2 linked regions of the Coturnix japonica genome follow. The protein of the gene in region 2 purifies or fractionates together with the protein of the main gene of each other region. This does not show direct contact. Links are inferred from orthologs where the notes say so. Each region holds a gene or a part of one and is shown on either strand. Other genes may lie near its edges.

What was found. The genes of interacting proteins can lie anywhere in the genome.
Region 1: the proteins of CIAO1 (region 2) and CIAO3 purify together in Homo sapiens (affinity purification with western blotting; 3 studies listed by BioGRID and IntAct, with this or other methods). This does not show direct contact. The link is inferred for Coturnix japonica from reciprocal best matches to the Homo sapiens genes CIAO1 and CIAO3.

What each region holds. Positions count from the first base shown.
Region 1 is NC_029529.1:5,995,824-5,999,759, forward strand, and holds the start of CIAO3 (cytosolic iron-sulfur assembly component 3), read left to right. Parts: upstream 1-1,136; 5' UTR 1,137-1,195; coding exon 1,196-1,261; intron 1,262-1,583; exon of another isoform or gene 1,584-1,685; coding exon of another isoform or gene 1,686-1,718; intron 1,719-1,867; coding exon 1,868-1,963; intron 1,964-2,260; coding exon 2,261-2,404; intron 2,405-2,504; coding exon 2,505-2,637; intron 2,638-2,944; coding exon 2,945-3,079; intron 3,080-3,475; coding exon 3,476-3,594; intron 3,595-3,936.
Region 2 is NC_029537.1:1,034,695-1,038,675, reverse strand, and holds the start of CIAO1 (probable cytosolic iron-sulfur protein assembly protein CIAO1), read right to left. Parts: upstream 2,801-3,981; 5' UTR 2,776-2,800; coding exon 2,626-2,775; intron 2,079-2,625; coding exon 1,929-2,078; intron 1,663-1,928; coding exon 1,551-1,662; intron 967-1,550; coding exon 878-966; intron 696-877; coding exon 494-695; intron 1-493. Other genes in the region: TMEM127 (transmembrane protein 127), read left to right, coding at 2,914-3,169. UniProt on the Homo sapiens protein: Key component of the cytosolic iron-sulfur protein assembly (CIA) complex, a multiprotein complex that mediates the incorporation of iron-sulfur cluster into extramitochondrial Fe/S proteins.

The DNA.
Region 1 (3,936 bases), on a different chromosome or scaffold from region 2:
GTGACTGGCTACACTGGAGCAGAAGTATTGTTTAACAGTACCCTAATCCTGTTTAGCTGCCCATCAGGGTACAGAGGTCCTCCTGACACATGAGCAGCCAGGTTTAAGAAGCATGACCAGCTTTAAGTTAACTGACGTCGGAAAAGCAGAGTTCAGCAGCGAGGCTCAGAACTCACACGTGCTCCTGGGAGCCCAGCCCAGCCTTGAAAGACTGCTTAGGAAAAAAACAGGTTGTTACAACATTGGATCTTTGGCCATTAGTTCCGTCTGTACCATGAAACTCACACTGTTCAGAGCATTTGGCATCCAGCTGCTTGTGTCAGCTGCTGTGCCACGTTCTCAGTTCCCAGGTCTTTCGTGTGAACAGGTTCTCCCAAAGCACACACCTTCTACAGCACCAGGAATGAAAGGGTGAGGTGCTGTGGGTATCCAGCAATGCTTTTACTCCATCCTGCCCTGACATGAGTACCGTCAGCGCTTGGACATCTCTATTACGCACTCAAGTGCAGCAAAAAATAGCTATAATTGTCAGGCACTCCTTACTTTGAGTACAAAGCAGCTTTGTATTTTAGAGCTTCAGGAAAATGGTCTCCTGTATGAGTCAGCTGCCTTCTAAAAAGCATGATGTGATTTCAGTAGCTTCCCCTTACAGTAAGGCCGACACCTTGCGATGTAACCAAGCAGTCTGACCTCCCTCTCTGCTCTGTGTATAGATAGACATGCATGGATGCATACACAGCCACCTACAGATGGTGATGTTACATGCAGACAAAATAGAGGAGAGGAAAATGCCTCAGGAGAGTTAGAGATCCAGGCTCATAAACTACCTCCATTTCTTATGTGACTGACCCTAAACCCCATTAAAGACCCCCAGCTTTTAAAGCACTTTCTCCCCACACCAGCACCTTGCTATTACCAGCAAGGGATGTGTTTAATGCATGGTAATGTCATGCCCCTTGCAGGCAGCGCTTAGTAAAGCAGGCTAGGGAAGCTTTAATCCCTTTGTGTCATGTGTGTGTCTTATGATAAGGATCTATCAAGCAAGGCTATCAATAAACCCAACGGAACGTCATTTTGCCTCTATCCTGAATATCACGACAGGGCGCCATATCACGACAGCAGTGTGGCTTTTACGACAGTGTCGCAACTCCTGCCCCTCCCGCTGGCTGCCGCGCTTGACGGCGGCGGCGCTGTCATGGCGTCTCCCTTCAGCGGGGTGCTGCAGCTGACCGACCTGGATGATTACATCGGACCCTCGCAGGTGGGTGTCCAGGGGGGCAAGAACCGCAGGGCCCGGCCTAGGAGAGCCATACTGGAAGGGAAACAGGGAGTAGGGGGGGGGAGGTGAGGAGACAGCACTGTGCGAGTCTAGCTGTGCAGATAGGGCAGTAAAAATGACATAAAATGCTAAAAAAGCCCTTGGGGCTCCATGGTAGAGCAGCACAAAAATCAGGCAACAGCTGTGCTGAGCCTGTCAGAGCCTTTCCGACATGACATGGAACCCCATTGGCAATAGCCGCCCGCTGGCTGTAGTGACCACGCCTCCATCCGTTCCAATTTGCAATGAGGGAATGCGAGATCGTCTGTGAGATCTAAGAGGGGATCAAGGCTCTGTGCTTGTCAAGGCTCCTTTTAACGCAGCTCTGTGATTCGGAAGGGACACAGTCTCCTCTGGCTTTGGTGTGATGCTGAAAAGGTGCTCGTTCTGTAAGAAAGGGGTAAGGTTCTAAGGACCATTTTCCCTTGGTGGATGTAGACACAGTCAGTAGATCTGGCATCATTTAAAGCAGAGTAATAGACATTCGCTCTATTGGGTTTGACCGTTCGAGTCTTGTCTCTTCACTTCTGAGCCTTATTTCTCTTTTAGGAATGTATCAAACCTGTAAAGGTGGAAAAAAAGCCTGGGAAAGCAGCAGCTAAGATCAGAATTGAAGCTGATGGGAGCTATGTTCAGATCACTCAGGTATGCCTGACCTTTCTTTATTGTTGTGTAAGATATCCAGACAATGCTGATGGTTAGTTATGTATTTAAATAAGGTGCCGCTATTTAAGGACCAGGATCTGGGAATGCTGATGACAACAGCAAAATATATTACAAAATCCTTTTTTCCTCACCTTTATTCTTCCTTGTCTGCTCTTGATAAGCCAGGAGGGTAAAGAGGACAATATCCTTATTACTAAACATAGTAAAGATGAGAAACTGCCACCCTACTCAATTCTGTGTTGTGACCAAAACTGAGTCTTATCTGTTTCTTCCCAGGATGGAGAAGCACAGAAACTGGAGAAGGCTAAAATTACTCTGAATGACTGTTTAGCTTGTAGTGGCTGCATTACATCAGCAGAGAGTGTTTTAATCACTCAGCAGAGCCATGAGGAGTTCTCCAAAACTCTAGCTTTTAACAAGGTAAGTGATGAGACAGGGGCGGGTCAGCTGCAGAGTTAGTAGATGTGAGTATTAGTACTGTCTGATCAGCTTTCTTTTGTTGCTGTTATTATTTTTAAAGGCTGCAGCTCCCAATGAACAGAAGCTGGTGGTGGTTTCTGTTTCACCACAATCCAGGGCTTCACTGGCTGCAAAATGTAAAATGAGCATTCTGGAAACAGCAAAGAAGTTGACTGCATTCTTAAAGAGTCAAGGCAAGTGCTGCATTGCGTCCTACCCATGACAGAGGGGACTGCTGGGCTATCCATCAGGCACAGCTTTTATGAGCACCTAAAGGTGATATGAATTAAGAAGTACAAACTTCAGTCACAAAATAAACCTGGAGTAATGGAGGAAAGGAGCTTTAAATTATCCGCATTCCTCCTATGACTTCTGCTCTTGTCCTGCTGTGCTAGAGAAAACAGTTCACTCTCAAATACAGATTGATAGCAGTAAATATGATGTGTAGCTTGCTGCTTGTATCTTCCTTGTGAATTCTAATGTGCATGTTGTACCACTTAGGTGTGCACTATGTATTTGATACAACTTTCTCAAGAAACTTCAGCCTGCTGGAGAGCCAAAAGGAGTTTGTAAAACGCTTCCGAAGGCAATCAGAAGACAAAAAGGCTTTGCCAATGCTAGCTTCTGCCTGTCCAGGTACATTACAAAGTTGGTTACAGAAATAAGATGCCATTCTAATAATACACCTATACAAGAACTCAAAAAGCTAGTCAGAAAAGTTCATATTAATTTGCTTAAAGTATTACTCTTCACAAAGAGAGCTTGGTGTTAATAGTGGTAATGGTCTGTAGAAATACCTACTCGCCTCTATAAATGGAATTGTTACACCTCTTTGCCTTTTGTGCTGAGGCTGAAAATGGTTATGAATGGGTGGTGAGCCTGAGGTTGTGGGCAGAGTGAAGGGGTGCTTGCTATTTATATGTATATATATATATATATATAACTATATATATATATATAGTTATATAGTTATATATAGTTATATAGTTATAGTTACTGATTGCAACTATTTGCTAATTATTCTCTCTTCAGGTTGGATCTGCTATGCAGAGAAAACCCATGGCAGTTTCATCATTCCTTACATCAGCACCACTAAGTCTCCACAGCAGATCATGGGCTCCTTGATAAAGGGCTATTTTGCAGAGCAGCAGGTAAGGTGCATCAAACACAAGCTGATACGTTTTCCTGTACTGTGTACATTAAGGATTGAAGATAATTGTTTTTATCTTGCAAATTGCCAGCAAAGGCATTGTCACTTCTGTGATACCTGTTAAGAAACTTGCAGCTGGGACAGCAGCACTAAGTTCACACTTTGTGGCTTGAAATCTCTATATATTATTCAGGAAGTCTAAGGAATCTGATTTGTCATTATTCTTGTGCTTATATCTCACTCGTCCTGTATGGTATTTTCCTGCTGATCAAGGCTGGTGAATAAGGTAAAATAAACTAACCCAGGACAAAACCTCAGTCAGTGCATACGTGCAGATCATGCC
Region 2 (3,981 bases):
TGATCCAATCAGTACAGCACCGAGAGCACGCTGTAACCAACACACAGCACTGAGTGGATCAACACACAGCACTGAGGATCCAAGCACAGCAGCTGAGTGATTCCAACACACAGGCACTGAGTGATCCAACACAGCACTGAGTGATCCAACACACAGCACTGAGTGATCCAACACAGCACTGAGTGAATACAACACACCACAGCACTGAATGGATCAACACAGCACCTGAGTGGAATATCAACACACGGGCCATGCAAATGAGTGATACCACACAGGCACCTGGAATAGGATCACAACACAGCACTGAGATAGATACCAACACAACAGCATGAGTGATCCAACACGAGCATGAGTTGATGGCCAATGTACAGCACTGGTGATTCAACACTGAGTGATCCAACACACAGCACTGAGTGATCCAACACAGCACTGAGTGATCCAACACAGCACTGAGTGATCCAAGTCCCAGCAAGGAGCTGTGTTAGGAGCTCACCCTCCTCATTGCCCGGCTTGTAGCACTGCCAGATGCGCACGGTCTTGTCGTCGCTGCAGGACGCCAGGCGCTGCCCGCTGCCATCGAACGCGATGCTCCACACGGTGGATTCGTGACCCTCCAACGTGGCACAACAAACCCAGTCGTCCTCCTCCTCGTGGTACAGCTTCACCGTGTCGTCGTAGCTGGCTGAAGCCAGGAGCTGGGACAGGAATGGGATCAACACCCCAAACCCACAGGGATTGCAAAGCCCTGCCCCCATAGAGGACCATTCAAACCCCATCTCTTGGGAGCACTGACTCCTTATGGCCCTGTGGCTCAGATCCTTTCCCATCACACACAGTGATGCCCGCAGGTCCCGCTGCCCTTGAGCTGGGCTCTCACCTCCTGGTTGGGATGCCACACCACGTGCTTGACGTCCTGAGTGTGAGAGTTGAGGACGCTGACACACTCGTATTCCTCCTCTTCATCCACTGCGGGGAAAAACACCTTCCATGAGGGAATGGGGCCAGAAGGGACAGTATTGGGGTCAGAAGGGGCAACAATGGGGCCAGAAGGGACACAGTGGGGATGGAAGGGGCAGCAATGGGGCCAGAAGGGGCAGTATAGGGGGCAGAAGGGACAGCAATGGGGCCACAAGGGGCAGTATAGGGGGCAGAAGGGGCAGCAATGGGGCCAGAAGGGACAGTATAGGGGGCAGAAGGGGCAGCAATGGGGCCAGAAGGGACAGTATAGGGGGCAGAAGGGGCAACAATGGGGCCAGAAGGGACACAGTGGGGATGGAAGGGGCAGCAATGGGGCCAGAAGGGGCAGTATAGGGGGCAGAAGGGNGGGGCAGAAGGGGCAACAATGGGGCCAGAAGGGACACAGTGGGGATGGAAGGGGCAGCAATGGGGCCAGAAGGGGCAGTATAGGGGGCAGAAGGGGCAACAATGGGGCCAGAAGGGGCAGTATAGGGGGCAGAAGGGGCAGCAATGGGGCCAGAAGGGGCAGTATTGAGGACAGCAGGGACACAGTGGGGCCGATGCCCTTGGGGTCCCCTCATTCCCCCCCTCACCTTCCCAGACCCACACGCTCTTGTCCCGGCTGCACGTTGCCAGCAGGCTGCCCGACGGCGCCCAGGCCACCGACTTCACCTCGTTTTCGTGTCCTTCCAATGTGGTGACGCACTGTGGGGGGCACAAGGAGCTGCAGGGCGCCACTATGGGGCTGGGTTATGGGGCTGGGTTATGGGGCTGGGTTATGGGGCTGGGTTATGGGGCTGGGTTATGGGGCTGGGTTATGGGGCTGGTTATGGGGGTTGCTGGGTTAGTGGGCTGGGTTGTGGGCTTGGTTGTGGGGGTGGGCTGGTTATGGGGTGGTTGTGGGGCTGGGTATGGGCTGGGTTATGGGCTGGTTATGGGGCTGTGTTATGGGGCTGTGGGGGGGGTCTGACCTCGAAGCCGTCCTGGCAGCGCTTCCAGATGCACGTGGTGGCGTCGAAGCTGGCAGAGGCCAAATAGGAGCCACAGGGCGACCAGGCCACTCTCCTCACTGTGCGTTGGTGGCCATCAGACAGCACAGCACGGCAAGCCTCCAGCTGACCCTAATAGGGGGGGGGTGGATGGGGGACCCCAATAGGAGCCCAGCCCCCACCCCACCCACGTGTATTAGGGCCATTAAGCCCGCCCCCTCCTTTAAGCCCCTCCCACGCTCCTCTGGCCCCGCCCTTTTTACCCCACCCTCTCGGCTCCGCCTCCTATTGGCCACACCCTCCCTTAGCCCCGCCCCTTCCTTAAGCCCCTCCCACCACCATCTGGCCCCGCCCACATTCACTATGTCTCCGCCTCTACTCGTCAGCCATTGGCTGCGCCCTCTCTTAGCCCCGCCCCCTCCTTTAAGCCCCGCCCACGACCCTCTTAGCCCCGCCCCCTTTCACCGTGTTCCCGCCCCTACTCGTCACCCATTGGCCGCTCCCTCTCATAGCCCCGCCCCCATTCATTGTCCCCGCCCCTACTCATCAGCCATTGGCTGGGGCCTCCCTTAGCCCCGCCTCTACTCGTCAGCCATTGGCTGCGCCCTCTCTTAGCCCCGCCCCCACCCTTGAGGCCCCGCCCCTTCCTTCCGCCCCGTTATCCCCCTCGTTCCCGTTATCCCTCGGTACCGTCCCGCCCCCACACTCTCACGGCCCGGTCCCCGCCGCAGGACGCGATGAGGTTCCCGTTTGGGCTCCACGCCAGGAACCAGCACCGCGCCTCGGGATGCGCCGCCACGCGGCTCTGCAGCACCAGCGCCTCCTTCATCGCGTCGCACCGTAATGACGTCACACCGGAAGCGGAAGCGCCGCCATGTTGCCGCCCTAGTGACGTCACCGCCGCGCTCGCCGGAAGCGGAAGCGGAGCCCGCGGCCTGAGGCGGTGCCGGCTGTTCGGGCCGCAGCCATGTACAACCCGGCCGGGCCCGGGCTGCACGGCAGGGGGAGGCGGCGGGGAACGGCGGGAGGCGGCGGGGGGGGGGCGCTGCCCAAACAACCGGAGCGGAGCCTGGCGTCGGCGCTGCCCGGGGCTCTGTCCATCACCGCGCTCTGCACCGCGCTGGCCGAACCCGCCTGGCTCCGGATCCACGGCGGGACCTGCGGGCGGCAGGAGCTGGGGGTGGCCGATGTGATGGGGACCGTCAGGACCGAGCTGCTGAGGGGTGAGAAACGGGAGAGCGGGGAGAGTGGGGCGGTATAGGGTCCTTATGGGGCTTATAGGGTCCTTATGGGGTTATGGGGTCCTTATGGGGTCCTTATGGGGTCCCTATGGGGCTCGCTATGGGCCCGCTATGGGGTCGCTATGGGGCCGCTATGGGGCCGCTATGGGTTCGCTATAGGGCTCGGTGTGGGGTCCTTATTGGATCGGTATGGGATCGGTATGGGGCTTATTATGGGGTCCTTATGGGGTCAGTATTGGGTCGTTATGGGATCGGTATGTGGCTCGGTATGGGGCTCGCTATGGGGTCGTTATGGGGGTCCGTATGGGGTCGGTCTGGGGCTCCTATGGGGCTCAGTATGGGGTCCTTATGGGGCTCAGTATGGGGCCGGTATGGGATCGGTATGGGGCGTATTATGGGCTCGGTATGGGAATTGGTATGGAGCTGATGGGGCTCGGTATGGGGTTGTTATGGGGTCGGTATGGGGTCCTTATGGGGTTCTTATGGGGTCATTATGGGGTCTTATGGGGTCCTTATGGGGTCGCTATGGGGTCCTTATGGGATAGGTATGAGGCCCTTATGGAGCTCGGTATGGGTATCGCTATGGGGCTCGCTATGGGGTCCTTATGGGGCTCGTTACGGGTCTCATTATGAGTCTCCTTATAGGGTCTTTATGGGGTCTTTATGGGTCTATGGGGTTTTTATGGGGTTTTATAGGGTCGGTATGGGGTTTTTATGGGGTCACTATGGGGTCATTATGGGGTCCTTATGGGGCTCGATATGGGCTTGTTATGGAGTCGTTATGGGGCTCGGTC